Linked DNA regions of Caenorhabditis elegans. The protein of the gene in region 1 interacts with the protein of each later gene in a pairwise test. Each region holds a gene or a part of one and is shown in the gene's direction. Other genes may lie near its edges.

Evidence for each region.
Region 2: the proteins of ima-3 (region 1) and exh-1 interact in a two-hybrid assay, tested with the Caenorhabditis elegans proteins (one large-scale study listed by BioGRID).
Region 3: the proteins of ima-3 (region 1) and Y105C5B.19 interact in a two-hybrid assay, tested with the Caenorhabditis elegans proteins (one large-scale study listed by BioGRID).
Region 4: the proteins of ima-3 (region 1) and arrd-13 interact in a two-hybrid assay, tested with the Caenorhabditis elegans proteins (one large-scale study listed by BioGRID).

What each region holds. Positions count from the first base shown.
Region 1 is NC_003282.8:7,556,687-7,565,341, reverse strand, and holds ima-3 (Importin subunit alpha-3), read left to right. Parts: upstream 1-3,677; 5' UTR 3,678-3,681; coding exon 3,682-3,756; intron 3,757-3,801; coding exon 3,802-3,872; intron 3,873-3,985; coding exon 3,986-4,201; intron 4,202-4,246; coding exon 4,247-4,841; intron 4,842-4,884; coding exon 4,885-5,363; intron 5,364-5,442; coding exon 5,443-5,551; 3' UTR 5,552-6,601; downstream 6,602-8,655. Other genes in the region: F32E10.9 (TPR_REGION domain-containing protein), read left to right, coding at 2,205-2,329, 2,379-2,544, 2,632-2,829; nprl-2 (Nitrogen permease regulator 2), read right to left, coding at 6,646-6,769, 6,814-7,516, 7,561-7,872, 7,917-8,133; F49E8.8 (Phosphatidylinositol-glycan biosynthesis class F protein), read right to left, coding at 8,137-8,256, 8,318-8,524, 8,574-8,655. UniProt on the Caenorhabditis elegans protein: Binds specifically and directly to substrates containing either a simple or bipartite NLS motif. Promotes docking of import substrates to the nuclear envelope. Seems to act as a cytosolic receptor for both simple and bipartite NLS motifs.
Region 2 is NC_003283.11:3,153,735-3,160,475, forward strand, and holds exh-1 (T20D4.11-like domain-containing protein), read left to right. Parts: upstream 1-3,351; 5' UTR 3,352-3,360; coding exon 3,361-3,501; intron 3,502-3,551; coding exon 3,552-3,965; intron 3,966-4,014; coding exon 4,015-4,074; 3' UTR 4,075-4,137; downstream 4,138-6,741. Other genes in the region: srab-7 (Serpentine Receptor, class AB (Class A-like)), read right to left, coding at 90-285, 335-520, 569-797, 1,212-1,438; UPF0376 protein C36C5.12, read right to left, coding at 4,715-4,774, 4,824-5,237, 5,294-5,428.
Region 3 is NC_003282.8:15,979,870-15,988,209, reverse strand, and holds Y105C5B.19 (Major sperm protein), read left to right. Parts: upstream 1-4,239; coding exon 4,240-4,902; intron 4,903-5,450; coding exon 5,451-5,588; intron 5,589-5,636; coding exon 5,637-5,870; intron 5,871-5,932; coding exon 5,933-6,029; exon of another isoform or gene 6,030-6,033; intron 6,034-6,118; coding exon 6,119-6,209; intron 6,210-6,254; coding exon 6,255-6,362; intron 6,363-6,408; coding exon 6,409-6,532; 3' UTR 6,533-6,635; downstream 6,636-8,340.
Region 4 is NC_003280.10:13,755,127-13,763,846, forward strand, and holds arrd-13 (Arrestin C-terminal-like domain-containing protein), read left to right. Parts: upstream 1-3,281; 5' UTR 3,282-3,294; coding exon 3,295-3,479; intron 3,480-3,630; coding exon 3,631-3,736; intron 3,737-4,235; coding exon 4,236-4,398; intron 4,399-4,986; coding exon 4,987-5,769; intron 5,770-5,821; coding exon 5,822-5,967; 3' UTR 5,968-6,109; downstream 6,110-8,720. Other genes in the region: arrd-14 (Arrestin C-terminal-like domain-containing protein), read left to right, coding at 940-1,037; arrd-11 (Arrestin C-terminal-like domain-containing protein), read left to right, coding at 8,301-8,485.

The sequences.
Region 1 (8,655 bases):
GCGAGGCGGTTGTAAACTATTCGTTCTTTAGCAAAAATAAAAAAAAACTTTATTTAAACTTAAAAATAAATATCATATGTTATCACACCTTAGAATATCACGCCTTAATTTAGTAATCATTTTAGTTCATAAGTGTGAGAGAAAGAAAAATGGATTAATCATCGGAATTAGATATCATCAGAGTGATTATATTCATCAAAGGTCCCACTTTACTGGAGGGTTAATTTGGTTGATATAAAATTCCTATCTCATGTAAAGAAAGGTTCGAATTCTGTACCTATGAATGCTGCCGATATTTGAATTCCTGTCTCATGGGAAGAAGGCCTTTCTTGTGGGAAGAACGGAGTTATAAAAAAATATACGCAGGTACAGAATTTGAACTTTTCTTCCCATGAGATAGGAATTTGAATATTGGCATTCTATAACTTTACTTTTAAAAAATCTCCAAAGGTTGCTCGCAAATATGTAGAGATTGCTCGCATCCCTTCAAATATTACAAAATTTCCAAGTTTTTTAGAAATAATCTTCATTTAGATTATTGAAAAATATCCACAGATTACTTTTGAGTTGCCTGAGAAGTTATTGTAAAACGCAAGGCGAGCTGATGGTACAGAATTTGAACTTTTCTTCCCATGAGATAGGAATTTGAATAATGGCATTCTATAACTTTACTAAGAAAAAATATCCCCAAAGGTTGCTCGCTTCCCTCCAAATATTACGAAATCTAATCTCCAAGTTTCTCAGTAATCTATAGTTTTCATTTAGATTACTGAAAAATATACACAGATTACTTTTGAGTCTGAGAAGTTATTGTAAAACGCAAAGCGAGCTCAAATGTATTTTGATAAAAGTGGCTATTTAGGCTTAAGCCGCGCCATACCGCCGGTGTGTCATAAGGATTTCCAATATTTTATTCCAGTTGGGCATCCTAGTATGTTTTTCGGGCCTTTAGGCTTAAGTGTGTCATAAGGATTTTCTATATTTTATTCAAGTTGGGCATCCTAGTATGTTTTTCGGGCCCTTAGGCTGGTTGGATTGGGATTTCCAATGTTTTATTCCAGTTGGGCACCCTAAGTCTAAATAGCTCTTTTTCTTTTCTATTGCGCTCCAAGCGCAAGGAAAAGCCTTCTTGTAACTTTTTAAGAGGGTTTCATATATTTTATTAAAATCGGGGCGAAGCCCTGATTTTAAATCCATATTGTTTTTTTTGTCTTCCACTATCCCTGAAAATAGGAAAGAGAATGTGTTCTTTCTGATGAAGTAAAAATCAGGATTTACCAAAACAGGATGCATATAAACATGGATGGAGTGGGCGGAGCGAATTCGCAATCACCGCACGCTTATTTCGCAAGCCTCGCACGTTTTTTCCTTGATTTTGTTGCATTTTTTCAAAAGAAAAAACGTGCGAGGCTTGCGAAACAAGCATACGGCACTATCAAAATTTATGAATCGATCCTTGGATTTTGCAAAAACTTTTGTCGTGCAGAAAGTTGGGCGAAGCGTCCTTTCGCAACACTGCCGCGTGGGGTTTGCCCACGGCCCTTTTTAACTGCTTTCTTGTTGATTTTTTAAATAAAGTTTCGATTTTTCTTTTTTTTTCGAATGAAAATGTTATCCAATTCGAAAAAAGAGAAAAATACAAGTAAAATCGAAACTTTATTTGAAAAATCAACAAGAAATTAATTTTTGCAAAATCCAAGGATCGATTCATAAATTTTGATAGTAGTTGTCAATTGGCTCCGCCCACTGCATCATTTTTTGGTAAATCCTGTTTTGAACTGCATTCTGTTTTGGTGGGGCCTCGAGACCACAGCTTTACATGGAGGCTTAGCCCATGCACCAAGTGAAGAGCTAGTCATCAATGCATCTAGACTGGAAGGATCCATCGCTTCCCGAGTAAAGTTGCTTGTGATCAAAGGTGTCAGTGTCCCCTAAAAATTACAAAAACGGGACAACGGGAATTCCCGTTCCCGTGAAAATTTTTAAAACGGGACAACGGGAATTCCCGTTTCCGCGAAAACACCCAAAAAACGGGACAACGGGACATCCCGTTCCCGTGAAAATGACAAAAACGGGACAGCGGGAATTCCCGTTCCCGTGAAAATTTTAAAAACGGGACAACGGGAATTCCCGTTCCCGTGAAAACACCCCAAAAACGGGACAACGGGACAAACGGAACACGGGAATTGACATCCTTGCTTGTGATGGGATTGGAATCGGACAAAATCAAATGCAAGGTCGCAATCATGGCTGAAATTAAGAGTAGAGGGAATCTGAAAAGCTCCCGAAAAATTTTTGAATCAGCTGCAGCAAAATTTCCGAACTGCCAGTAAGACAACATTTTTTAATCAATTTTTTTGAAACTGACTTACTTTCAGAGCTATAATAACCGGACGAGTCATTGTAGAAGAGAACGCAAATCGCGGTGCTGAGGCTGAAAAGCTTACCCGTGATTTTATCACCAAAAATACTGACGTCAGCGGAGATGAGTTGATAAAATTTATCAACTACATGGAGACCTACGATTCCAAGTTTGGTTTAAAGGTAAGCCTGTAAAACACTGAAAAATGTTAAACGAATTATATTATAACTATATTCTTCGCAATAGTGATTCAAATTGAACCATTTCAGGCTGCAATTCAAGTTGCAAAGGACAATCTTCCATGGGCCGGCGAAGAGAACATAGACCAATGGGTCAACTGGGTCAACCTACTGATTAGTCTGAAAAGTTTCAAAAGTTCCAAACTTTTCTGTGAACACGGCATGCCAGCAGCGTTGGGGAGTGTATCTTTTCTTAAGTTTTTCAATAGATCTTTGCGAAAACTGTAACAGGATCGACACTGACCGAAGCAGATCAGGTGTTCTCCTGGATCCAGGAACACAACAAGAAATTGCGGGAAAAGACGGCTAATGTAAGTTTTTCGGACTAGAAAATACTCCTGGTTTTTTGTTCAAAAGTATTATATCAAATGCATTTGATGCAAATGCAAATGCAAATGTAACCATAAATATCATTATTTTTCAGGTGGTGCAGGATGAGAGCGGCGACGAGTAGGATGCAATCACAAAATTTATTGCTTTATAATTTTTATAAAATCCGCTGTTATTAATATTGTAAAGAATGTTGAGTAAATAAATTTATTATTTAAAATTTTTTGTTAAAAGAGCTTGGTACCCAAATGTATTTAAAATTGCCATATTTTGAAACCATTTGAAGCGAAGTTTGACATTTTAATCAGACATTGTTTTTTGTTCTTAATATCTTTAACATTTACACGTTTTCCTTTTTTTAAAGAAGATCCATCCAAAAACTCCGGAGCTTCTTTTCCCTAGTTTTAAAATCTACGAGTGAGACCTCTTATCTGCCAATACGCTCTATTGTGTGCGTTGCGTGTCAACCGCGACGCTTCTGCGACATATTTTGTCTCGTTATCGACTATAATTTTTCCCCAATCCTACTGAAATCTTTCCATCTTACATGTAATTCATTGGATTTTATTTAAAAATTTCTGTTAAAGTTTCTCAATATCGCTCTTTTCTTATTTTAAATAATTAAGCTGTAATCTTAGATACTTTTTGTGTTGCGAAATCTCTGATAGAAAGTTCCGCAGTTTTTAAACGTTTTTTGTTGCTTTTTACTTGCGCTACTATTCATTTATCAAGTTTTTTTCTTTCAGCAGAATGAGTTCAAACAGACAGGCTTATTATAAGAACAATGCCAAAGAGCAAATTGGCAAGGAAAAAAGGAACGAAGAAGTAAGTTCGATAAACTTGTTAACGCATACATTATTCAATTTTAAGGTGGTTTCGATCAGAAAGGATAAACGAGAGGAGGCAATTTCCAAACGGCGTAATATCAATACCCAAATTGAGTGAGTTTTTCATCTGATTTTATATGCTTCAGCTATGAGAGCTAACAAAAGTGTTTCATACGCTTATCACAGTAAATTATCTGTTCCAGTTTTTGAATTGTTTTAATTTTCAGAGATGATTCTGAGACTTCAACAACCCCACCAGGTCCATTTGATGCCAACCTCCTCCGGTTGACAGTCGCTGCTGCCCAATCGAGCGATCCCGCTGAGCAGCTGACTGCTGTTCAACAAGCCCGTAAAATGCTATCAACTGATAGAAATCCACCAATTGATGACTTGATTGGCAGTGGGATTTTGCCTGTCCTCGTTCAATGCTTGTCCAGCACGGAGTAAGAATTTTCATAAGGTCGCATCAAATTACTGTAAATTTTCAGTCCAAACTTGCAATTTGAAGCTGCATGGGCCCTTACCAACATAGCATCTGGTACATCAGAGCAAACACAAGCCGTCGTGAATGCCGGAGCCGTTCCTCTCTTCCTGCAACTCCTGTCATGTGGAAATCTGAACGTTTGCGAGCAATCTGTCTGGGCTCTTGGTAACATCATTGGAGATGGACCACATTTCCGTGATTATTGTCTCGAACTCGGAATTCTCCAGCCACTATTGCAGTTCATTAACCCGGAGATACCTATTGGCTTCTTGAGAAATGTCACATGGGTTATTGTCAATCTCTGCAGGTGCAAAGATCCGGCACCAAGCCCAGCTGTGGTTCGTACGATTCTTCCCGCCCTCTCACTTTTGATCCATCACCAAGACACCAACATCCTCATAGACACCGTTTGGGCCCTTTCTTACCTCACCGACGGTGGAAATGAACACATTCAAATGGTTATCGAAGCTCAAGTTGTTACCCATCTCGTTCCACTCCTTGGACACGTTGATGTTAAAGTTCAAACAGCAGCACTTCGAGCTGTAGGAAATATTGTGACTGGAACCGACGAACAAACACAACTTGTGTTGGATAGCGGAGTAAAAATTTTCATTTATGACTTTTCCAAATCTTAAATTTCAGGTTCTTCGGTTTATGCCAGGACTTCTCGCCCACTACAAAGAGAAAATAAACAAAGAGGCTGTTTGGTTTGTCTCCAACATAACTGCTGGAAACCAACAACAAGTTCAAGACGTATTCGACGCCGGAATCATGCCAATGATTATTCATCTTCTTGATCGAGGAGATTTCCCAACTCAAAAAGAGGCAGCGTGGGCTATTTCCAACGTTACAATCTCTGGCCGTCCAAATCAAGTTGAGCAAATGGTAAAGCTTGGTGTCCTTCGTCCTTTCTGTGCGATGCTCAGTTGCACTGATTCGCAGATTATCCAAGTAGTGCTTGATGGAATTAACAACATTCTGAAAATGGCTGGAGAAGCTGCCGAACAGGTGACATCAGAGATTGAAGAGTGCGGAGGTCTTGACAAGATAGAAAATCTTCAAAATCATGAAAACGAGGACATTTACAAACTGGCTTTCGAAATTATCGATAACTTCTTCAGGTAGGAGTCCAATTATATTTGATAAAAATCTTCAGAGTCCGTGTGCGAATGTTTGGTGTATACGTTTTTATATTTTCAGTTCCGATGATGAGACTGGCAACGTGGAAGGAGCTCAAAGTTCTGCTTTTGGAGGCGACGTTCCACCAGTTCCTGATGCTCCAAACGGAGGATGGAACTTTGGAAAGTAGATCTCCATGATTCCTTTAATCACAAAATACGTTTTGTCTTATTTCTCGTAAACAATTTCGCATGCCGTTCCCATACAAATGTTCATGTAGTTTTCGTCTTACTATTTTTCACACCTCACTTTTTGTTAGGTTCTCGTGTATTTTCATCTGACACGCGAGTTCCTAAGCCAGCTTCTCGGAAATGCAAGCTCTCTTTCATGTGAGATTTTGCACTTTTTGACCAATTGAGTTTGCACGTTCTTCTACAATCGATTGTCAATTATCTCATCCTTTCTTTATCTCTTCGTTGTTTCTGTACCATCAGTGATTTGATTAACATTTCACTTTTTCATCCACCATCTTTTTTCCATTGTGATTAATTAGTTACAATGTCCCCGCCCTCTTCTTCGTGTGTGCGAGAGTGACTGTTTTATGATAATATATTTCGATTTCTTTTTAAAGTGAGTGTGTGAGTTGTGCATTTTTGTTGAGTTTTGTTTTCATTTTTGTTTCCCATTCGCGCCCGTTCATTGCCCGCGTCCCCCACCCTCATCCTTTTATCATTGTTACCGCGTCGTTTTCAAATCTCTCATCATTTTTCCCAGTCCCTCCAATCCCCACGGTCCCCAGATTTTCTCTCTAAAAGCGAGTATTTTCATTTTCTTCACATGTTACTTTTATTAATTCTTTATCATATACATAATTTCAATTTCTTAGAACTTCTGATCCCCCTAGTTTGCTCATTTCCTAGTCATCCATCATCATTCTCGATTTCATTAGTTCTCGGAGAATCTCGTTGATAGGCCAAAAATTCCAATCACCCTGCTCCTCTTAGTTCTCGTGGACTCCAGTATTCTTTTTCTTGAAACCCCACCCATCCCGTAAGGCCTTTTTAAAGGTATATCGAGCCGTCCCTCTTCTCATCATCCATCTTCTTTTCTCATTTTCCCTCTCATCTTCCTCATCCCATTTTCCTTTCTCCCGTTTTGCTATTCTCGATTGTCTCGACTGACTGGCCAATATTCCCTTTACCTGGTGTGTGCTCTCATAATAAATAAATCAAATTTATTTGTTAAAAGTTGTTGTAAAACGAAACAATAATACACGATTTTCATTTATTTCATGACAAACTCAAATTTTCCGGTTTCTTCCAACAGTGAGCAAAGTTGTTCGGGGTCCACATTATGTTGAAGAGAAAGTTCGTCAATTGAAGTTTTTCCATTACACCGTTTCAGGAGACTTAAAATTGTATATTATTAGATAGTATTAATTGATTAACTTACGTGTTGTTGCCTGGGTTTGCAACACAAATAGGATATTTAGAAAGTTTACGAAGAAACTGATGATGCATTCCAAATTGTACAAGTCGCTGTTCATCAATACCCATCGATCTTGGTTTCTCCAGATCGGCCCATTCTGCTAGATTGTTGCCGCACTGAAAACGTAGTCGATTGCTATCAGATTCGTCGATCGGAAGTTTAGGTCCCACCACTTTCATGCTCAAATAAAGTCGGAACACATCCGAAAATTCTGGAGTTCGCGTTGGAATTTCTGAGCCGTCTGCACCGATTTCCGTTTGAATTTTCACAAACTCAAGGCAGTCATTGATTTCCGTTTGATTTTTGTAAAAGTCGTGAACTCTTTCAGTTGCCACATATGTATTATAGTAGAGAAACATTGGAACAAGACTGACACATTCGTAGAAGTGTAAATTACGAACACATCTGGCGACGAGGGATGGATCAAGTTCGAGAATAATAGCAATCTCTCGAACTGTATTGATTCCATCAATTTGAGGAATAATCTTCTGTGACAGAACATCCATTTTTTCTATGAGATGATCGGTAAGCGTCACTTCTCTTATGAACATTGGAACCATATGATAATCGATTTCTGGAGGTTCACATCCACGATACAATGGGCATAATTTGAAATATAATGTCACAATCTTTTCATCTTCAAGACTGACTTCAATCACACTTTCGCCTAAATTTAAAATCTTGTTATTCATAGAAAAATACAAAGTTTACCTTTATTCGACAGATCATTGAACATTCTCTCCATTACATCAAGAACCTGATCCTTGTATTTTGGATTTGTGAGAAATTTGTATTCCATCTCCAATTCAATCAAATATTCCGCGCATTTCTGTACAATTGGCTCATACATTGTTTCTGCAGATGATGTCATGTCAACGATGAAAGCCATATCGAAAGTGAAACGACCACGTTCGTAGCTTTTGTGATCTATTCCAACGGGAAACATGAGAACTTTGCAGCGAAGAGATTTGATGGTCAGTGAAAATGAGTTACGGAACATGGATGGTTTTGGAATGATCAAGCCTGAAACATAAATTCATTTTATTATTTGGATTAATATAACATACCTTTTGTGAAGTGAAAAGTTGCCTCAACTTTATTATTTTCTTTCGGAACAGAATGTTTGATGATTGCACCTAAAGTGTTATGAAATTCTGCCAACAGAATTCCGAGAAGTTGTGGGGCATCATCAAATGTATAATGACCGAATCGACCACCACTTGAATCACCTGTTGCAAAAGGTCCTGCTCCGAATGTCGCAAGAGTTTTTTGACGCTGAACCATTGTTTAGCGTTTTTTAGTCTTATTGTAAGCGGTCCGCTTGATGACAAAAATCCGGGTAATGGCAATAAAAATACCAATAACTGCTCCAATAAAGCAACCGACGAGGGAAGGAAGAGGGTATCGCTGTAAATTAATTTATTACACATTTGACAAGAAGTGTATGCGCGCATATATGCGTGATTACCTGCCACCAACGATCCCAATCCAATGGATGAACAGCAGCTGCTGCCCAAGCACCCAAAAAAGCGAATACGGAGTTGAACAGTAAAACTGATTCTTTTGGTGTTGGATTGCCTTCACACGAAAATAATTGTAGGATCACTTCAACCGCTCGCTCTTCTGAATCGAATAGGAAGACGGCAGGCAGAGCAGAGACGGCCGTTAGAGCTGTCTGAAAACAGGAAAAATAAATTATTTTCATGTGCTTAATCTTCTCATACAGCAAGTACAGCGGTTGCAATTATATCAGAGAAAAACGGAGCGCCGAAAAGGACAGCGAGGATGTAAAACACCGCCCAAGAA
Region 2 (6,741 bases), on another chromosome or scaffold:
AAAAACTGTGTGCTTACACAACTATAATTAGGAAATCAGATACATACATTGTCATGAAACATCATAACACCGTATATTTTATGACTCACATTCAAGTAGAGCCAAGTAAGTAGAAGATTCAAGTTCTGCGCCAAATTTCAATAAGAATAGAAAAAACATAATATGGATAACTTGAAATCCAGTTTGTAAATTTGCAAATAGTTTCAATGTTCTCATAGACTTTAGGTTTTGCTCCAAAGAATATCGATTTGACAATGAACATGTGATTTGTTTTGCCCGGAGCCTCTAAAATTAGAGTATACAGCTTATACCTTTTTAGTGAACACCTACATACCTCATTCAAGTTAAACAAGTACTGAAAAATAACTCTTCCAACTATTTGAGCAAGGAGGATAATATGGAAAATCACTTCGACGTTAGTAACAAATCCCTGCTTGATAGCTGTGCAGTAGGGCATAAAAGGTTCCTTGAATGGAAATATTAAGAATGCATAATAAGTTGTCATAGTTGCAATTGAAAACTTAAATTTTTCAAAAAAGTTTTAAAATTTTCGAAGAACTGGGTTTACCTGCTTAATAGCCATATAAATCCCCAACGCACACCCAGTTTGTTCATATTTTGACGATTTAATTGTTGCAATATATCTTTCAATTACCAGTGGAATTGTAGTTGCTCCAACTAAACATAGGCCAAATACATATTGAACGCGGAGCACAAAACATCGAGTTGTGCTTGCAGGCATGTCACAGTAGTCAAGGATCAGGTAGTTGTGAAGGTCAATGGTGTGAAGCACTATTCTGGAATCAGAATTGGAATGCATTGCATATTTAGACCACTTGCGTGTCTTTTGGAGTGTCAAAAAATTTGGCAATTATCGAGAACACAAATTTCGAATAAAATACTCAAAAAGCAGTAATAAACTATTTTTACTGTAGTAAATTTTTTCTTTCTCAACTCGTAAAAACCTGAAAATTTTAAAATTTTTTCGATAATTTTAGTTTTTGTTGGTTGCCGGATTGTTGAACCGCCAGGAATTTGAATTGCCAAAAACTAGTAATATTAGAAATACCTTTTTTAATAGGTTTATATTAAGTGTTTAAATGTTGTGGAATTTTTTCAGTTCCAAAAAAACTAAAATTATTAAAATTATTAAACCATTCGTTTTACGAATTTTAATTGTTGAGTTATAGTAACATCACAAAAATTATAACCTGTTCGAGCAATGCAAAAAAAATCCGAACCAATGAACTTGAAATATAATTATTACATTGACGTGGAATAATCTTGCAACTTGCGCAGTCCATAAACTATAACTCGCTACAATAACCATTGTTAAAGCCAAAAGACTAGATGCAAGTTGAAATGTTATAGTGAATCGGAGGAATATGGACGAAGACAGGGATTCCATTATTTTGCATTGTTCCTGATATGGTGTCATCTGAAATATTTGGAAAATTTTTTTGGAGCCCTAGCATTAAATAAATGCATGCTCCTGAAATGCATAAAGTATTGCTAAAAATAAATTTTTTTCCAAATTAAATATTTTAAAATAAAAAAAAATTGAGATTCATGAAAAGTTCTCGTAGAAAAGTTTTGGCTGAAAACAAAAAAAAAGCACACATAGAAATTTTTCTGAGAGATGTGCTAATGAGTTGGGAATCAGAAAGCCATAATACTATGAAATATAGTATTGTGACCTCATCTTTTAAAATTTGATAAAAACATCCATCGAAACATGAGTCAAAATTTGTTTGCGTGATTGGTTTTTTGGAAGGCCCAAACTCCCAGGGGGCAAAAAATTAGGGGGCATCGTGTTCTTAGGGGGCATTTACTCCAAGGGGGCATCACTCATAGGGGGCATTAGGGGTCAATGTTCTTAGGGGGCATTTTCAAAAGTCTCAAAGGGGGCAAAGTTTTAAATGAGTATTTGTTAAGGATACGATTTTTAATGATTTGTCAAAAATGGAATTCGGCCTTAAATACTAATTAAACACTTTGAAATGGAAAAATTATGATGTTTTATTTGTCTTGTTTATTAACAATATTTTGAAAAGTGTATGTTTTCGGTGGGCAACTTGTTATATTTGTATCTTTACAGTCATCCAAGATAGTTGTTCAAAAGTTTTAGATACTACAGAAAATAGTTTTTAAACAATTTTGGATGTGCTCTCACGAAAAATTAATGGAATTGTCAAGAGCGGGGATGTAGACATAATACATTCCAAAATCTTATAGCTCCGTTCGTGTGTGATATAAGAAAAAGTGGTCAACTGAAAAGTCGTCACCCTGTATAGTAATCAGCAAATTATTAGTTTAAACTTTTTGTCTATATTGGATGACTGTAAAGATACAAATATAACAAGTTGCCCACCGAAAAAATGCACTTTTCAAAATATTGTTAATAAACAAGACAAATAAAACATCATAATTTTTCCATTTCAAAGTGTTTAATTAGTATTTAAGGCCGAATTCCATTTTTGACAAATCATTAAAAATCGTATCCTTAACAAATACTCATTTAAAACTTTGCCCCCTTTGAGACTTTTGAAAATGCCCCCTAAGAACATTGACCCCTAATGCCCCCTATGAGTGATGCCCCCTTGGAGTAAATGCCCCCTAAGAACACGATGCCCCCTCATTTTTTGCCCCCTGGGAGTTTGGGCCTTTTTGGAACGAATTCTAAATTCTAAAATTTCAAAATTGCTATATAATCATAGTTTGTCTGAATTGTTTTTTTTTTAACTTTTTCAGCAGGTGGTGTTATAGGGGAAATTACAAGATCAAACCACTTGGAGTTCAGCTTTTTTGCTACTCGATTTATGTTTTTAATTTGAAATTAAAATGCAAAACTATGCGGTTTGTAAATAATTTTGCTTTTGAAAGAAAACTAAAATAAATGTTTAAAAAATTTTGAACATTTTTTATGTAGCTTGTAACAAATGTTTTTTCTTACTACAATTACTATAAGTCTCAGCCCAATTTCGGCATGGAAGCAGAAAAAAAATTGCTCATTTTCAGGCAAGTTTCAGATTTTTCCAGATTCTCTGGCCAGCAGTCCTGGGAGCTCGGTGGGTCCGTTCCTCCTAGTACTACTTACGATAGAGTCTTAATTTTCACTTCCTGGTTCAGTTTTTAAAGAAACCGATGAATGTTTCTCAAAAGATCATCAACAACTGTCGAAACAAACTTTTAGAACTTTATCCCTTCAAACGTTACACACTTTTTTTCCGCCTTTCGACATGAACAGTTGCTACTCTGTTCAGAATAGTTCCCCGGCTCGAGTCGACAGGATCTCATGTTGTCTATTTTTTCGTTTATTTTCAAGCTCGGCTCTATGTATGTAGTTTGTTTTTTCAGGAGATGAAGCTCGTCCTCTTACTAGTCACCATTGGTATATTGTCCCTGGATTTGGTTCAAGGTGTAAAAGTTAACCTAGTACCTTTGGGAAACATGGTCAATTGTACTCTGTCTGTTGAATTCCATTCGATTGGCTGTATCATGGTTTGTTTTTATATGAATACTTTTTTTAGTAATATTTAGTGTTTTTTCAGCGTTTAGGCGAGTTTTTCGATGATCTTGATAAACTTGAGCTGGACGATAAGGCGGAAGTAGTCAAATTTTCAAAGTCCTGCGAAACTATCCCCACCTGCTTTGAAACTCCGCAGTGTACACCAAAGGGTATCGCACCAGAGGAGAAAAAGGAAATGGTCAAAAAAATCAAAAACTATTGTAGCGGGGTTTCCTATATCGCCAACGACTTTGAAGAATGCCGTGATAAACTTGCGGAGAACAAATGTTACAAAGATTGGGACCCGTTCCAGAGAAAGTTCAATCTGGAAAAGGATGAGAAGAAAAAAGAACAAATGCGTGAAGATTCTTGCAAGAATTATTTTGGAGAAGACAACTGTATGAAGACGGTGGTTACTGAAACATGTGGTGAATCCGATTGGGCCAAACTTCGCGACGTAAGTATTCCGGGGGAATTTAGAGAAAACAATTTTTATTAAATTTCAGCACTTCGTGGGAATCGGCAACAATATTTTGAGCGAATGCGGCTTCAGCAAAACTGATTGAATAACTTTATAATTTTGATTTACTTTCTGATTTTAATTCGATAAATAAAATTTTACCATTTCGATCAGAAAGTTATTCTATTCGGAACGTTCTGCGCCGATTCAATCGTTTCAGACTTTCGGAGTTGCTCCAAATCGAAAAATTGAAATAACTATGTAGTTTTGCCATTGGTACTAGTACCTGCAGTCGAGTACACCATACCAAACAAAAAAACAAAAAAAATTACATTAGTTTATATAATTCTATTGTCGAAAAAGTAACAGCTTCTGACATCCGGCAGGTTTGTAATGCCATGTGACACAAAACTGAAACTAGGTGTTTTCATGAAGATGTCTTCTTTTTCCAAAGTGTTGTTCTGTCACAAAGTGAGCAGGATATTTTATAAAATACCTTGATTGGCGGTTTTTTCGCGGTACGGCTCACGGCACGAGGCAGGCGGAGGTCGCCGCAGGCATTTTGGCGCCTGCATGGAATTTTTCCACCAACATTTTTGGCCGCTAGATAATTTTTTCTCACGATCAAAGTTGGTTTTGCAATAAATCCTGTTCTCTCTGAAAAAAATCCTGAAAGCATATTTTGCTGCTAAAAAATGTTCCTGCATCAAAACTAATTCATTAATATTTTGTCATCAGAATTATAATTATCCAAGTCTGCTGAAGTCACACTTGCTAACCAAATCGGAGGAAAGATTGATGAACTGCTGAAAATGAATGAATTTTCCAAAAAATAAGTCTTTACTTGTTACTTACCTCACGAAATTTATCCCATTCTTTTTGGCTACACGTTTCGACAATCTCCTTCTTCATGCAGTCATCTTTCCCGAAATATCTCTTGCAAGTCTCTTTTTTCATTTTCTCAACCTTCTTTTCGTCTTCTTCTAGATGAATTCCATCTGGAATCGGGTCCCAGTTGTCGAAACAAACTGATTTTTTCGCAGTAAGTTTATCACTACAATCGGAAAAATCTTCGTGGATGTACACAACAGCTTCGCAATTTTTTTCGACCATTCGGAACAACTCTGCTTCGTCCATTGTGGAATTTGGCCCACAGCGGGTAATGGCAAAACAATTTTTTAGAGAATCGCAAGTTTTCTTGAATTCCTTCAGTTCACTTTTCTTATCCATGTCGAGTTCATCTACTTTTGCTGCGAAGTCGCGAAGACGCTAAATTCCAAATTTGAGAACTAGATAAATTTCAAGTTGTTAAAAAATTCACTTACCTCAATACAAAGGAATGTTTGAATGGCAGATCGCAACTCACAATAAGTTTCTTTCTCGGCAGCAGTTAGATTTGCTCCGTGAGCCACTCCCAAAAGCACAGTACCAATGATGGCAAGCTTGAGAAAACTTGTCATTTCCTGTAACAAAAAATGTAATCACATTTTCAATAAAAGTGGAAAATTGAAAAAAACTGTGCCGGAGAGTTTTCACTGATGTGAGCTACCTTGTTTATAAATGTTTCAAAAGATGATACAGAACACTGTGACAACTGGCGTAGATCTTCAAATATATCTTTAAAGAGAATGTGGATTGCACGTTTGTTTCACAAAATCAAATGTACAAACATCCTGATGGAACTCAATCCAGGAATTTTTAACATCGAGACGTCCCATGATTACACAAAAAAACGTAAGATAGCAAGTTGGACAGTGGACAGTAAGAAGCCCAACAAGAGTTGGAGCATTTCATTCAATCAAGGAAAGCGTTTGAGCTCGCGAGTAGACTTCCAGTGAGGGATTTTGTCTAAATGCACTTATTAAAGGATTAAAGGATTAAAGGACGATCCGTTCTTCAAGTGCTATGCACTGCGGATCTGGGATTCAGGTACATTGCCTGGTGGTGATCCCTCTGGGCTGTAATTTAAGCCACGTCCTAGCCGGGGACTGTGGCCGATAATCCAGTCGTGGATTGCTCCACTTCCCAATAGAGGCTGGGTGAACCTAGGGGGTGAGGCCGGACTTGAACTCGTGACCTCCAGACAGCTAGCGGCCACCACCACAGTTAAATCGCGGGGTATACATTGTGTGTTTTGAGGCATAAATCGGGCATTAGCGAAGCGCAAACGCACGCAATGTGTACATCGCGAAAAATTGGACAACTTTCGCGATGTATACATCATGCATTCACAATGTCACAAGTGGAACGGTGCCTACTAATTGGAAAAAACTGTCATTGAAATCTCAATTTTTCAATTACCTTTTAAGAGTACCCCGTACGATTTGAATCTTCAAATCCGAACAATCATGAGGGTCCCCTTATTATCAGATTCTCCAGCTTCAAAATATCATAAGGGTCCTCCCTTATGGTTGAAAAATTTTTGAGTAAAATTTTTTTCCAAGAATTTTTCAAAAAGTGTTTAACTTTGTAGAATACCTCAATTTAGGTAGTTGCTCCAAGTTTGGACATTCATTTTACGATCTCAGTCGAATAGTGACCAAAACTAGAGTTGATTGAGCTGACAGACGTATTACTTTCAATGGCTTATAACTCTGGTGGCGTTTGAATTAATAAAATGTGTTCAACTGAAAAGTTGTTGGTAATAATGTGAAAAACATTTTGGTAGTTGGTACCTTTTTGTTATCTTCAATGACTGTGGAGATGTGAGCCCCAAAAGATGACCAAAATATTCTAGATCTGTTCTTAACTATATCTCGGTTCTCGATAAAGA
Region 3 (8,340 bases), 8.4 Mb from region 1:
AAGCTAACTTTTAAATATTTTCAATAGACAAACAAATAATAAAATCTAAAGTTTTTAATTTTTTTAACTTTAATAGTAAGGTTCAATTTTCATTTCAACCTTGCATTTCTACTCAATCACTATTTGCTATCATCATTGTTTTCATAACAGTTAGGTGAAACAGAATATGTTTTTATTGAATAAAATACCACTAAAAATGAATTAAAGTGACAATATGAAACAATTTAGAGTATATTTTCTAAAATGTTTCAGTTTTTTCTCATATAAATCATGGAAGAATCAAATTTTAAATGATAATTAACAAATGATGTTCTGGTTGAAATCGACGCGTTTCACATTGTGGTTAAAAGTGTGCTAGAATTTTTAATTGTATTAGTTTCTTTTTTATGTAGTCAAATCGGCTAAATTTTGAAAATTTAGAGCAATAAGGTTGTGTAATTTTTTCCATAAAACCGCGCAATAAACGGTGTTTTCTTTCCATATTTAGGCATAAACACTTTTTACAAACTATCTAGCTAGAATTGAATTTCTCGATCGCTGACTGAGTAACACTGAAATTAAAAAGTTTATACTTTACTTCTACAATGAAACAGTAAAGTTATATTTTGACTTTTTTTTAAACCTGATTTCGAAAGTTCGGGAAGTGCATCCGCTCCTTTACCTTCGATACTTTTTTCATTTATAAAGCCATGCGATAACTTTATAATAATATCGATAAATTCATTTTTATATTGACATCATGAAATAGTACATTTTTGAAATGGTTCAAGAAAAATAACAAGAAAAACGATTTTAATCAGCGTAATTATGTATAGATTGATCTTGTTATAACATTTTTATTAAAGAAACATCGTAATATATTTTCCTATCTCTGCTCATGCTGAAACTGGGGAGCCTGTGTCAGCAAATCCTTGTGTATTTCTTAATCAAACGTTGAAAGTGGAAATGTTTTTTTTTTTTGAAATTGCCATCTCATTTTGAATAAAAATCTGATAAAAGTTGTTATAACAGTATTTACAATGTTTTATATATTTTATAAATAGTTTACTAAATAAAATTAGTTTAATTCGAAAAAAAACTAAAACACTCAACCATACAATTTGTATAACTTAACAAAAATCTGAAACAGAAAAACAAGAAAGTGAGAAAAATCTTTGAAGTCATCGATAATTCAGATAAATCATAAATTGTCGGGGTTTTCATTCCATGGAAATATTTTGAAAAAGTATAATGAAAAAATCAGTGTCCTACTATTGGTTTCTAAAACAATTTAACAATTTAAATAAACCTACTTTGTGAAACGGGTTTTAAAATAATTTTTTCACGTTTTAGGTAAGTACTTATATTTTTTTTTAATTTTGAATTTATACACACCAATTTCGAGAACACATTATTTGTGTACGTTGCTCGAGAAGACCTAACTCCTGCCTTTAAATGAGCACCCGACATCTACCGGGTTTCACTCACTTTTATAAGATACAAATCAGTGCAGTAAAAGCTAGTTTTTTAAAAATATATTTAGACAATCAAATGATAAAATCTAGAGTTTTTTTAAAACTTTAATAGTAATGTTCAATTTTCATTTCCAGCTTGCATTACTACTCAATCACTAGCTACGCATATTGCTGCTCATTGTTTTTATATTAGTTACGTGAAACAAAATATGTTTTTATTGAATAAAATCCTACTGAAAATGAATTAAAATGACAAAATGAAACAATTCAGAGTATATTTCTGAAATGTTCCTGTTTATTCTCACATAATGCATGGAAGAATCAATTTCTAATTGAAAATTAACTAATGACGTTCATGGTTGAAATCAATACGTGTTTCACATTGTGGTTAAGTGTGGGCTAGGATTTTTAGTTGTATTCTATGTCTTGTTTATTGTTGTAAAGTCGGCTAGAATTTTGTAAATTTAGAGCAATAAGTTGGTGTTATTTCTTCCAAAAAAAAGCAATGTTACAGACAATTTCGCGGCATAAAGTAGGCGGTCTCATTATAAAATGGTCTTTAAAAAAAAATACTTATTCTTGCCGTCTAATTGTGAAATTAAAAAATTTTTAAGGAAAAATAGAAGATAAATTTAAAGTTTCAGTGTGTTTTGGTAGCAATTAATTTTTTAATTTGTTCATGGATTTGTTTTTCATCAAATTATTTTTTTTTCATTTGTTTTTTTAAATTCCCATTTTTAGAAAGCTATCAAATTAAAATTACAAAAATATCATTTTCGTTCAATCATCAATATGTATATGAAAATACCCGTTTGTCCACTTTCTAAAACCGCAATTTTTTTTTGAACGCTCATGAATAAAAAACAACTTCCTAAACTGTTGCTAGATTGATCGAAATGCAGATGGCATTTAAAATATTTGGGAGCGTTTTATTTATATTTCAATTCATTCTTTTGAATAGCAGATAAGGTATCTAATATAACATTTTAAAATACTTATTCTTTAAAATTTTGATTATTTCATAAATTTTACTGATTATGAATTTTATAAAGTTAGAACGGTAGATTAGCGCGTCAAGCGCGCTAGGCTTCGCAGTAGTTTAAGTTCGAAAACTGTGGAAAAGTTTGATAATTTTTGAAGGAAAATGGTTCAATTTTTTTCATTGAATTAAATTACTGTCATATCATTAAATTACTATTGAATAAGTAAACTTTTCTTGAAATCTTATTTCTTACTTGAAACAGTAATTTCAATTCTCGAAACGTAAAAAATTATATGATTTTTCCGTTTTTCCTTCATTTAAAATGATTTTACACCAAAAACAGTTTCATAAAGTTGTTTAATGTGTTCTAGAAATATCAATTATTTTATAAATTTCAAATCACTTTTTTGAGAAAAGAAATCTGAATTTTGTCAGAGATGTTTCAACTGGTTTTCAAAAGAAAAACTTGAGTAACTATTTTTAGTAGATAGATCCTTCGACCTTTCCAGTCGTTTTAACAGTGAAAAAAAAACCCGATAATCAACACATTATTCCACATTACTTGTGGGGTTTCTCAAGAACGCCTAACGCTAACGAAATATGAGCGCCCGACATCTACCGAGTTTCACTCACCTATATGAGATATAAATCAGTGCAGTAAAAGCTAATTTTCAAATATTTCCAATACACGAACAATAATGAAACTAGTCAGTTTTATAATATTAATTTCTGAAAATTTAAGCAGTTTCACAAATTTTTTTTCTTCGAAATTTCGACAAACTTAAAAGCATTATTGAATGATCAAATTTATCTAGTAATTTTAAGTCTACTTGAAACTGTAATTTCAATTCTCGAAATGCAAAACAAATTATAGGATTTCCGCGTTTTTCTTTCATTAAAAATCATTTATAGGGAATTATCTTTGAAAAAATAAACGTTAACAAATGTTCCCGAAACAACAGATTATCAGTCCAATAATATGTCAAGTTGTTCTTGGAGCTATGATTTGCAGTTGAAAAAGTGAAATTATTTTTATTTTCCCCAGCATTTTAAAAAAGTTACATCAATATTAAATACAAACTTGAAACAGTATTTTCAATTAATTAATTTTTTATTTTAATTTTTCTTTTATGCTTAGTTGTTTAAACAGTAGATGTTTTCTCTAACAGTTAACAGTTTTTTTTTAATATTTGCCATCTCTTTGTTGTGGGGCAAACGCTCGAAAAATTCAAAATTCTAATCAAAACCAATCAATAAACACTAAAAACGCTCCAAACCCCCCTCTCGTAAACCAACGTCCGTTGTCCTGAAACGTTCCTTTTCTCTGCGTCTCTCGTCATTTCTCTTACCACCACCTGCGTCTCTCACACTAATTCGGTCTCTCAACTCGCGGCGGGAGGCATTGCGCGCAAACAATGCTTCCCGTGCGGTGACGTTTTCGATTTTATCGGTTTTTATTTTGTGTTGTTTCTTGTTTCTCGTGAATTTTATATTGTTATTCACTAATTTTGAAAATTCGCGGTTTTTTAATTCAAATCTTTTTTTTAATTTAAAAAAAACGAGTGCTAGTCAGAAAGTCCCATTTTGCTTTGACCTTCAAAAAATGTGGGAGCAGCGACGCAGACATATCATCTGATTTTGCATGGTTTAGAGCGTGCTTACGTCACAATTTTTATGAATAAATATTCCCGCATTTTTCGTAGATCAAACCGAATGTGTGTACCTGACACCACGTCGATTATCACTATTGATTTTTTGAATTTTATTTGAACGCTCAAAATCTAAAAAAAATTCAATTTTCAGATGTCCCGCCGAGCTTCAAAAAGACCTGCTCCGTATCCACTCCTATGCGAACAAAAACCGGAAGATCTTCTAGTTGCTCCAGTCGAACATAAGGTTTACCAGGATTTTGAGCCTAAAAGACCCCGAGAATTTTCCCCCGTGATGGCTCAATCCCTTCCACCAGGAGAAATTGACTTCCAACCGAGCAAAATCATCTTCAATGCTCCGTACAATGAAAACCAAGAATCTAAAATCAAATTAATCAATACTTCGGCTCTTCGTATTGCTTATGGAATCAATACATATATGAAAAGACTCAGAGTTGATACGATGTGCACTCCAAATTGTGGAGTACTCGATCCAAGTGAGGAGATTCTTCTAACAATTTCCTGCGATGCTTTTGCATTCGGACAAGTAGATACCACAAATGACCGTATCACTGTCGAATGGACCAATACGTCTGAAGGATCCACCAAGCAGTTCTGTCGTGATTGGTTGGATGGAGATGGGATGGTTCGTCGTAAGACCCTTCCGATAGAGTACAGCTCATCTCCAATTGCTCAAACATCTTCGGCACCCCTTCTTCAGGCCTCTAAGCATGGGATGTGGTTGCCGATTGGATTCGCTGCTTCCGAATTGTACGATTATGCGAAAGGGGAACCATTGGATCGGAAGACTTGTGAGGTAGGTTTTGAGGGGATTATTTCTAGAGCAACTCGTATAGTGTCGGGCGCTGAAGTTCAGACGATTGAAATCTGATAGCAGCCAACATTGCACGGGCCTAGTTAGAATAACGAGTTTGCATGGCGAGACTTGTGAAATGTCGGTTTGCTTGTAGAAACAAAATCTCACCGCGAACTCCTCTAAAACTGCTTTTGCTAGCAGCCGACATTAAAACGAACGAACGGAAGCAGAAGTCGGTGCTTTACAGTATTGTTAAAGAAACTCGCAAAGTGTCGGGAGCTGAAATCCAAGTGCTTGAAATTTGATAGCAGCCGACACCACAATGGCCCAGTTAGAACAATATTGAATGTTGAGACTCGTGAAATGTCGGCTTGTTTATAGGAACAAAATATTACCCGTGGACTCTTTTAAAACTGCTGTTGCTAGCAGCCGACATTTTACGGGCCCACCACGGAATTTGCAGTCTAACTCGTAAGATGTCAGTTGCTTACAGTACATCATTGTAGTCAAGACCTTAGCCCTGCCAAATAAATCTTCAAATTTTTCAGAAAAACCTGGAGAAACTCATCAAAAATGACCGTGATGTTGACTACTACGAATGGCTCAATTTCGCCAAGCGGTGTCGAACACAAAATCAGAATTTGATGGAGGAAATGGCACTTGGAATGGCTTTCACTACGGCGATGGTGAGCAATTTCCAAAAGTTTCGAAAATTAAAAAAAATTCGCTTTCAGGCAAACAAGCAGCACAGGAAGATTTCTCGAAAAGCGGAGAAAATCACGGAACCGATCACAACGAACAAGGCATTCTCAATTGACTCAGCCGAGAAGTTTGACAGAGCTTTGACGTTGCCCAGCAGGAAATGGTTCATGATTTCCGATGTTGTGACGGATGGAGATGTGTCGAATTGGTCGACGGCTAACTTGGTGACTCTTGTGAGAGCTCTGGCGAGAACGGTTTTCGATAAGGTATGCTTAGTGGAGTCTTGCGTAGACTTTATAGAATCTTGCGTAAACTCCAAAAATTTAAGGTTGCCATTGCGGACCCCCATATGATGTGCTACGCAACTTCACAAAACGCTTCTACATATATTCCCATCGCTAGGGACTTTTTCGAAGGGTTTGCTGGTTAGTTTTCCACACGTTTCACCAAAAATTTATAAATTCTTTGAAACAGTAGGAAATTTAATATTAAAAAAACCATGTTCCTCTTCCAGAGTACATACTCGGTGGGTTCGGCGAAGAACAATCGCGAGACCTGAAGTTTCGAGTGAGGAAGCTGGTCACCGACGTTATGGGCAATAAGTTGTGAGTTTTACTGTCTCAGGGCTCAGTACTAAATTTATTTTTCAGAGACCGTGTGAGAGGCCGCCACAACAAAATGTATGGAAACGAAGCAAGTGAAGATGCCACAAGATGGCTCCGAGAGCAACTCCGCAAGGAGGATGGAGAGCTCAAAGAGTTTGTGATTTCATTGAGTTTTATAAAAATCGATAATTTTTTTCAGATCCCGACTAATTTTCCCAAATGGCTCAGAAATGATGTGTAACTATCAGGTAAACGAAGAAAACCCAGAAGGAAGTATAAAATCAGAAATTTTCAATGACGAAGAGGAAGTGGAAATGGAATAATTTGTTTTTGAAATTGTTATATTTTGTTGACTTTTCTATTAACTTATGTATTTCAATTCTGAAAAAAAAACATTTCAGCTGTCTATATAAAAGTTTTTCCAGCGCTCCTCTCATAGTTCTCAAGGTTTCAATAATTTGAAAATTTCAAATTTTTACTGTTTCAATGTGTTGTGAAACATGAGCTAAAATTAAAATGAAATGTTAGTCCCATAGTAAAAAGTTTTTGTTGTGAAATTGCAGTCCCGTGCAATTTTTGGCTCTGTTCGAGATTTTCTACTATATTTCCAGCCACAATTTGTAGAGTCGCATATTACTTAAATATAAATTAAAAAGAATCAATAATAACTGTTTAAAAAATAGTTTTGGGTCAACAGTGAAAATTTTACTGCGCAGAAAACTGTTGCTCACTTCAAATTTGAGCACAAAATCTATAAAAATTGTTTCATGGTGTTCATTTATTGGAACTGTTAGCATCAACATGAATTAAATTTATTGATCTCAGAGATCATCGGCTCAGATGATGTTCAACTCCAACTTTAAAAAGATTTCAGTGCCCTTAAGTACTTTAGCATTTTTTATAGCTCTTTTCACTTTTATAGTTGGAAAAAAAGTTTGAACATATAGTAAATGCGCCATTTTTGCATATAAAGAGTTCGTCAAATTCAAAAATACTTCAAGTACTTTTTCACAATGTTGGTTTAAGTGTAAAGGTGTACAATGAAATAATGTCAACGTATTTTTACACGATATTGATTTTTAAATTTTTTAAATAAGTGCGCCAGAGAAATTTTCATAAATATTATGTTCCTTTTTCACACAGCTGAACCAAATTTGATAATTTGACAACATAATCAGTTTTAATCAATAATGCTTCATCTAGCTTCAACTAGTTAATGTGTACCACTTTATTAGTTTTACTTGGCAAAAAGTCAAAAATCTGATATCAATTAAAAAATATAGTTTCATTTATTGTATCAACTAATTTATTATTTTCAATTACACTGCACCATTGATTTCTTCACATTGTGTTTCACGAGACTTTTATATATTCCTGCTGAAATTTATGCGGCTTCAGACTACAATCAGACTAAAGCCATAACTACAATCAAATCTGAACAGATTAGTAGTCTGAAACAATCTTATCGACAAAAAAAAGTAGTTACAAAAATGAACTTCAAATCCAAGAATTTACACGATCACCATTGAATTAAAATTGTGATCTGAAATTATGTAAAAAATGAGAAACAGAAAAAAAATTGTTTCACTTGCCCGAGTTGTTTTGATTTTCAAAAAGTAAAGTTTAACTGATAATTTGAAGCTTTACAGTTTTATTATATTTTAATGAATCTACTTTACCAAAAATACAAAAATTCATTTTACTTAAAAGCCTACTGACACGCTAAAAAGTAGAGACTTTGGGGTAAAAGTAACATTCTTAAATTTACTGACAACTGTTTCACTATGTTCTCAAAAAAACAACATTTAGTTCCAATGATATTCCTGTTAGCAATGATTATTTAAAAACACTGTGAAAGTGAAACGTCTCAAGTGAAACGTAAAACATTAAAATTATTGCAGTTTCAGAAAGTGCATATAAAAATTGGCTAATTTATTACATAACTAATTTTAACAAAAGCGTTGTTTACAATCGATTTTTTGTTTGAAAAAAGTTTATCTCGACCAATTATTGACACTTTAGGTTCCCAGAATATTTTGAGACTAAGTGAAACAGCAAAAAAAAACAATTAATCATAAATCAATATTTATTTTCCGTTTCACAGTTTTACCAAATTTATGGCACGTTATTG
Region 4 (8,720 bases), on another chromosome or scaffold:
ACTCGACAAACTCGGCAAGTCCACATTTTTGAAATTTGCAAAGCTTGGCAAACGACAAGCTCGGCAAATTCTGCAAATTTGCCGCACATCCGTGCTTTGATAGAATCGAACGAAAACTAGTGAACTCAGTTTTCCCATTAATTTTTGCACTTTTTGAGCTCCAAGAAATATTGCCTCTTTTGGTAGATCATAGAAGGTCCCGGGCATTCTTGTCATATTACGGCGCGCCGCGGTTTCATCTAGTTTGCCGGTTTGCCGGAAATTTTTATTTTCGGCAAATTGCCGGTTTGTCGATTTGCCGAAAATTTTCACTTCCGGCAGTTTGCCGGTAATTTTCAATTCCGGCATTTGACCTATTTGCCTATTAACCGGAAATTTTAATTCTGGCACTTTGCCGATTTGCCAGAAATTTTCAATTCCGGCAATTTGCCGGTTTGCCGGAAATTTTCAATTCCGGTAATTTGCCAGAAATTTTAAATTCCTGCAAAGTGGCGCTTTTCCGATTTGCCAGAAAATTTAAATTCCTGCAAAGTGCCGGGTTTCCAAAAATTTTCAATTCCGGCAATGTGCCGGTTTGACGGAAATTTTCAATTCCGGCAATTTGCCAGAAATATTCAACACCTGCAATTTGTCGGTTTGCCAATTTGCCAAAAATGCTCAATTCCGGCAACTTGCCGATTTTCCGGAAATTTTCAATTCCGACAATTTGCCGGAAATTTTCAATTCCGGCCAATTGCCAGAAATTTTCAATTCCGGCAATTTGCTGATTTGCCGGAAATCTCAATTATGGCAATTTGCCGATTCTCCGATTGCCAGAAATTTTCCGGAAAAAAACCTATATGCACCTCTGCTGACAATTTTTGGCAATAAATAAACTAATTTTCCGGTCAAAATCACTGAAACATGAGCACTCAAATATAAACAAACTCTATTTTCCAGTACCCCCACGCAAATTCGTCGATGGAGAAGATGCGCAGAGCTGGACGGTCGATATGAAGCCGGTGTTCACCTATCAAGTGCCGTATTATGGGCATTGAGGTCTTCTGTCTTCCCTGAGCTTATAAAATACCATTGTTATCACATGCTGCTATTCCGTTTGTTTCTTTTGATGGAATTCATTTTTAATAAAAGCATTTGTTTGACATCTATAAAAAAGTATCTTCTAGCAATTTAATTGCACTAGGCTGTTCTCAGAATACCCTCCAACAAAATGGGTTTCTCATTTTCGTTCTTTTTTCCCTTTTTTTCGACGTCTCTTTCCGTTTTCTCTGTTTCTCAGCACTCTTTCCGTCCATTTATCAAGGGTTCGTGCGTCCTCTGCCGGCATCAAACCACACACACACACACACACACACATTTTTTGTTCAATACCTTCTAAAATAGTGTAACTAACAAGAAATTAACAATAGGAATTGAGGTTTCAGGGATTTAGGCTAGAGTTTAGTTTTTTTTTTTTTTTTTTTTAGTTCTTTAGTTTTTTTTTTACTTAACAGTTTTGTCTGAGGAAATATTTTTCTGAGTAGTGTGTGTTAGTCACCCCGATTTTGCATTTATTCCTAACAAATATATAATAGGCTGGGTTTTGAAATTCTATTTAAAAAAAAACTGGTCCTATAAAAACGGACGATGAAATTAATGAATTTTTTTTATTTTTAGCATGTTTTAAAGCTATTTTTCTCCATTGTTTGACCTTTTTTGCCAATTTGCCCATTTGCCGGAAATTTCAATTCCGACAAATTGTCGTTTTTCCGACAAATTTTAAATTCCGGCAATGTGCCGATTTGCCGGGATTTTTCATTTTTGGCAAGTTGCCGATTTTCCTAAAATTTCGGCAAATCGTCAATTCGCCGGTTCCCCGATTTGCCGGATATTTTCAATTTTTCCTTTTTTTTTTCAAAATTTGCAATTTGCCGATTTCCTGATTTGCCGGAAATTTCAATTATGGCAATTAGCCAATTTGACGGATATTTTTAATTCCGGCAATGTGCCGCTTAGCCGAAAATTCAAATACCGGCAATTTGCCGATTTGCCGGAAATTATTAATTCCGACAATTTGCCGATTTTCCTAAAATTTCGGCAAATCGGCAGTTTGCCGGTTCCCCTATTTGCCGGATTTTTTTTTTCAATTCCGGCAATTTCCCGATTTGCCGGAAATTTCAATTCCGACAATTTGCCGATTTTCCTAAAATTTCGGCAAATCGGCAGTTTGCCGGTTCCCCTATTTGCCGGATTTTTTTTTCAATTCCGGCAATTTGCCGATTTGCCGGAAAAATCGTTTGCCGCCCACCCCGGGTTCGGCCATTTCTAGCATATTTTTCTCCGTTGTTTGACCTTACAAATTAACTTTCCCGAATGTCAGAAATTTTATCACTATTTCCTATTTAATCAGTAATGCTTCTCCTATGTCTTCTTCCGTTTAGCTTATCAATTCTTCCTGTTTGTGAGCAACGTTTCTTTTTCACAAGTTTAATGGAAAAACGTTGGTCTTTGCCCCGTTCTTTTATCCTCGCTGTTCCCTTTATTTCTCTGCGGCTCTTGCGGAGTGCGATTTTTTTGACCTTCAATACTGCATGTGTCTGTTTGCTTTGTTTCGAGCGGCTATTCCGTAATTTTCATGAAATTGTAAAAAAAAATCTAGTAAAAAATCGTTTAAGAAATTAGAATCAGTTATTAATTTTTTTTTAATTTGAACTTTTAAAATTTATTCTATTACCCAGACACGAGATTTCGCGATTTTTGAGCCACAAATACCAAACACCGGTCTCAACACGACAAATTCTTGATAGAAAGGAAAAGGCGTTCGCCTTTAAAGCGTACTGTAATTTCAAACTTTTGTTGCTGCAGCGATTTCAAATTTCTATGGATTTTTCATAGTTTTATTTTTATATTTGAGAGTTTTTTTTGCTATATTCATGTTTTCCATAAATTAATACATTTTTTTTATCGAAAATGTGTTTATTAGTTATTGAAAACTAAAATCAATTAAAAAAGAAATTTTGAAACTACAGTACTCTTTAAAGGCGCACACTCCTTCTCAAGTACGCAAACACCACATTTTATGACAATTTCTGCAAAATTTATTTCGCTCCTTTTTTTTGAATTAAATTAAATTGTTTTTTTCCTTTCCTTTTCAATTAAAATGCATAATTTTTTTCTATTTTTTTAAAATAAAATATTAAAAATCAAAAATTCGTTTTTTTTTAAATTTTCAGTGTTCTCTCCACCGATTTTCTTCCGGTTTTTTGAATTTTTTAACGATTTTTTAACGATTTTTGTCTAAGTTCCAGGGTTATCATGCCAGAAACGGAGCTTCACGTGATATTCGACCAGCCTAACGAAGTTTTCTTCCCGGGACAACCGATTTCCGGCCGAGTGGTGCTCTCAACGACGAAGGAAAAATACAAGGCTCGGGCGGTGAATATCAAAATTTTGGGATTGGCTCACACCAGTTGGACGGATTATGAGAGTGTTCGCAGAGTGTAAGAAATTTAAGATTTCTGTAGAAAATTTCATTTTTTTTTTGACGAAAAAGCTATTTTTCAAATTTTTTAAAATGGAAAATTGAATAATCAATAAATATTTCCGAATTTTCGAATAACACTAAAAAATTATAAAATTCGAATTTTCCAGTGACGCCGACGGAAAAGTGAGCCACCACCGGCAATCTGTGCACTACTCTGCGAATGTGAACTACCTGGATTATACATTGCTTCTGTGGGCTTGCAAAGATGGATCGGTAGGGTATTTTGAATCAGGGATAGATAGGCAAACCGGCAAAATCGGCAAACCGGCAAATTGACAATCTGCCGCTTTCCAAATTTCCGGCAAAGATGGCATATTGCCGTTTTTCAAGTTTCCGGCTAATTCGGCATATTGTCGTTTTTTCATATTTACATCAAGTTCGGCAATTGCCGTTTTCCAAATTTTCGGCAAATTGCTGTTTTTTTTTTAAATTTCCGGCAAAGTCGGCAAATTGTCGTTGTTCGAATTTCCGGCAAAGTCAACAAATTGCCGTTTTTTCAAATTTCCGGCATATTCGGCAATTGCCGTTTTCCAAATTTTCTGCAAATTGCTGTTTTTTTTTTAAATTTCCGGCTAAGTCGGCAATATGCCGTTTTTTCAAATTTCCGGCAAAGTCAACAAACCGGCAATTTTCCGATTTGCTGAAATTTTCGGTAGCTCAAAATGAAGAATGGTTGAAAATTACAATTATTAGATATCTGAATATTTGTCAGAACGAGTTAGCAGCTGGAGAATACGCCTGGTCATTTTCTTATAATCTTCCTCTCAACGTTCCGCCAAGCTTTGAGGGAAAATATGGATATTTGAGATACTCGGTGACAGCTGAAGTGGATCGGCCATGGAGATTGGATAAGGCAAAGAAGCGATGCATCACTGGTAAGGGCTACAGTTTTAAGCCTAAGCCTGACAATCTAAGCCTGAACCTAAGCCTGAGCCTACGCAGCTGAAGCCTAAGCCTAAACCTAACAATCTAAACATAAGCCTAAGTCTAAGACTAATCCTAAGCAGGAGTGGCATTTTTCGATTTTTCGATGTTTTTTCAGTGAAAATTGAAAAATCGAAAAGAATGTTAAGAAAATTAACCATAAAATATGATTTTTTTTAAAATCTAATTTTGCTTATATTGATGAGAAAAAAACATCAAAATTAATTCTAAAAATAAGAATAATGGCCAAAATATTGTGCTAATATTTTGGAAAATCTAAAAAATTTTCGCAAAATCAGAAAAACGATAATTTTTTAAACATTTTTCGATTTTCAAAAAAATCGAAAAACGAACACCCTTGATCCTAAGCCTAAGCATAGGCCTAAGCCTAAATCTAGACCACTGTCTAAGCCTAAGCCTAAGCCAAAGCATAAGCCTAGGCCTAAGCCGAAGCTTACGCCTAAGCCTAAGCCTAACGGTCTAAGTCTAAGACTAACATTCTAAGCCTAAGCCTAAGCCAAAAATTCAAACATTTTCAGTTTCCCCACTGATCGACCTCAATGTGATCCCCCATGCACTCACCCAAATCAACGACCAGGCTAGCGAGAACCTTGGCTGTTGCTGCTTCAAAAAAGGATATCTCGAACTTCGTGTAAACATCCCGAAAACTGGATTCGTACCCGGCGAGACTGTTCCCATGAACATCCATATTCTAAATCACTCCTCCGTTCCCGTCACCGAAGTCAAGGCGAAAATTATTCAGCAGTGCAAGTTCATTGCATATCGAAACGGTACCACCTTCCATTATGGCGGAGGCTATGAGACTGGAATGTCCGGACAGCTTCAGGAAACCAAACACGACACGAAGACCGTCGTCAAGCATGGCCAGGAAATGACAGTGGCTCCCAGGAATGAGCACAAATTTGCGATGGAGCTCCGTCTTCCGTCTGTAACTCCAACCATCAATCAGTTCTCACCGGTGATTACTGTAGAGTACATTGTGCAATTCCACGTGGAGACCAGCTCAACATTCGGGAGTGATGTTGATTGTGAAATGGGGATCCTGATTGGAACAGTGCCTATTCGGCAGTTCCTTCCACCAGCCTACTATCCACAGGATCCGAATCTTCCACAGATCCTGCCAACTCCGATTGGAGGAGGGGTTGTTGCTCCACCACCAGGGTATGGATTCTTGCCGATGGCAGATGGCTCGGAGAAGGGAGCTGGTGATGCATCATATCCAGCTGCCAGCATGCCAATGTATCCTATTCCGAATGTCCCATATCCTAGCAAAGATGATGGTACTGTAGTGATTCCAAGTGGTGAGTTACTCAGAAGTCCAGCACAATTCTCTAAAATTGCAAATTTTTCCAGCTCCACCACTATCCTACGAAGAATCAATGTTTGGACAAGATGGAACCGAGCTCAACACTGATGAAAATGAGCAACCATTTGCTCCAAAATACCCGGTTTTCAACAATTTGCCAGTTTATAATCCGACAGCGCCACCACCGGAATAATCCGAAGAATGAAGGATTTTCATCGGACTCTGCCCTGCTTTGCCGAATATTGTTCAAAATTATCATTGCTTTTAAAATGTTTTTTTGCCTGGTTGGATGTGTTTTTGTTTTATTTTAATGCATAAATTATTAAACTTCAATCGAATACTTGACATTGAGCAAAAAATGACTAATTGCCGGAATTGAAATTTCCGGCGAATCGGCAAATTGCCGGAATTGAAAATTTCTGGAAAATCGGCAAATTGCCGGAATTGAAAATTTCTGGCATATCGACAATTTGCCGGAATTGAAAATTTCTGGAAAATCAACAAATTGCCGGAATTGAAAATTTCTGGAAAATTAACAAATTGCCGGAATTGAAAATTTCTGGAAAATCAACAAATTGCCGGAATTGAAAATTTTTGGAAAATTAACAAATTGCCGGAATTGAAAATTTCTGGAAAATCAACAAATTGCCGGAATTGAAAATTTCTGGAAAATTAACAAATTGCCGGAATTGATAATTTCTGGCAAATCGGAAAACTGCCGGAATTGACAATATCCGGCAAGCGGCAAATTGCCGGAATTGAAATTTCCGGCGAATCGGCAAATTGCCGGAATTGAAAATTTCTGGAAAATGGGTAAATTGCCGGAATTGAAAATTTCTGGAAAATGGGTAAATTGCCGGAATTGAAAATTTCTGGAAAATCAACAAATTGCCGGAATTGAAAATTTCTGGCATATCGACAATTTGCCGGAATTGAAAATTTCTGGAAAATCAACAAATTGCCGGAATTGAAAATTTCTGGAAAATTAACAAATTGCCGGAATTGAAAATTTCTGAAAAATCAACAAATTGCCGGAATTGAAAATTTTTGGAAAATTAACAAATTGCCGGAATTGAAAATTTCTGGAAAATCAACAAATTGCCGGAATTGAAAATTTCTGGAAAATTAACAAATTGCCGGAATTGAAAATTTCTGGAAAATCAACAAATTGCCGGAATTGACAAATTGCCGGAATTGATAATTTCTGGCAAATCGGAAAACTGCCGGAATTGACAATATCCGGCAAGCGGCAAATTGCCGGAATTGAAATTTCCGGCGAATCGGCAAATTGCCGGAATTGAAAATTTCTGGAAAATGGGTAAATTGCCGGAATTGAAAATTTCTGGAAAATGGGTAAATTGCCGGAATTGAAAATTTCTGGAAAATCAACAAATTGCCGGGATTGAAAATTTCTGGCATATCGACAATTTGCCGGAATTGAAAATTTCTGGAAAATCAACAAATTGCCGGAATTGAAAATTTCTGGAAAATTAACAAATTGCCGGAATTGAAAATTTCTGGAAAATCAACAAATTGCCGGAATTGATAATTTCTGGCAAATCGGAAAACTGCCGGAATTGACAATATCCGGCAAGCGGCAAATTGCCGGAATTGAAATTTCCGGCGAATCGGCAAATTGCCGGAATTGAAAATTTCTGGAAAATGGGTAAATTGCCGGAATTGAAAATTTCTGGAAAATGGGTAAATTGCCGGAATTGACAATATCCGGCAAGCGGCAAATTGCCGGAATTGAAAATTTCTGGCATATCGACAATTTGCCGGAATTGAAAATTTCTGGAAAATCGGCAAATTGCCGGAATTGAAAATTTCTGGAAAATCAACAAATTGCCGGAATTGAAAATTTCTGGCATATCGACAAATTGCCGGAATTGACAAATTGCCGGAATTGATAATTTCTGGCAAATCGGAAAACTGCCGGAATTGACAATATCCGGCAAGCGGCAAATTGCCGGAATTGAAATTTCCAGCAAATCGGCTAATTGCCGGAATTGAAAATTTCTGGAAAATTGATAAATTGCCAGAATTGAAATTTCTGGAAAATTGACAAATTTCCGGAATTGAAAATTCCCGGCAAATCGGCAAATTGCTCGACAAAAAAACCTTGCTGATTTTGACTGAACATTTATATTTTTTCTTTTGTGCGTTATTAGTCATTCGGATATAAACATCATTGCTAACAACAATTTTAAAATTCTCTGAGGAATCGGTCGCTATTTAAACAACCAAAATCTGTTTTTGTTCTTGTTCTCTGTGAGTAAATATTGTTATCAGGTTTGATTATTTAACACACACCTGTAAATGAAAATACCCAGTAAGATGTCAACATCTTAATTGATCACTTGTTCTCTCTTCCAACATTTATTTGTTCTATTTTTCTTATGAAATATGAAACATTAAAATTCGTTTAAATTTCCCAATATTCTCCATTTTCAGTGTTCTCTCCACCGATTTTCTTCCGGTTTTTTGAATTTTTTAACGATTTTTTTCCCAATTTCCAGGGTTATCATGCCAGAAACTGAGCTTCATGTGATATTCGACCAACCTAACGAAGTTTTCTTCCCGGGACAACCGATTTCCGGCCGAGTGGTGCTCTCAACGACGGAGGAAAAATACAAGGCTCGGGCGGTGAATATCAAAATTTTGGGATTGGCTCACACTAGTTGGACGGACTACGACAGTGTTCGCAGAGTGTAAAGAATTTCAATTTTCTGTTCAAAAAATATTATTTTTAAAGAAAATTAAAAAAAAAATTTTTTTCGAATAATTAAATATTTATTAAAACTGTAAAATTGTGCCTAAATTAAGTCAGAAAAAGGGGGGGGACCTAAAATTGTCGATGCAACAATCAATATTTTTTAAAGAATGATCTGTAAGGAGTTATAATGTTCCGTAAAAATATTAATTTGATGAAAATTTGAAAAAAAA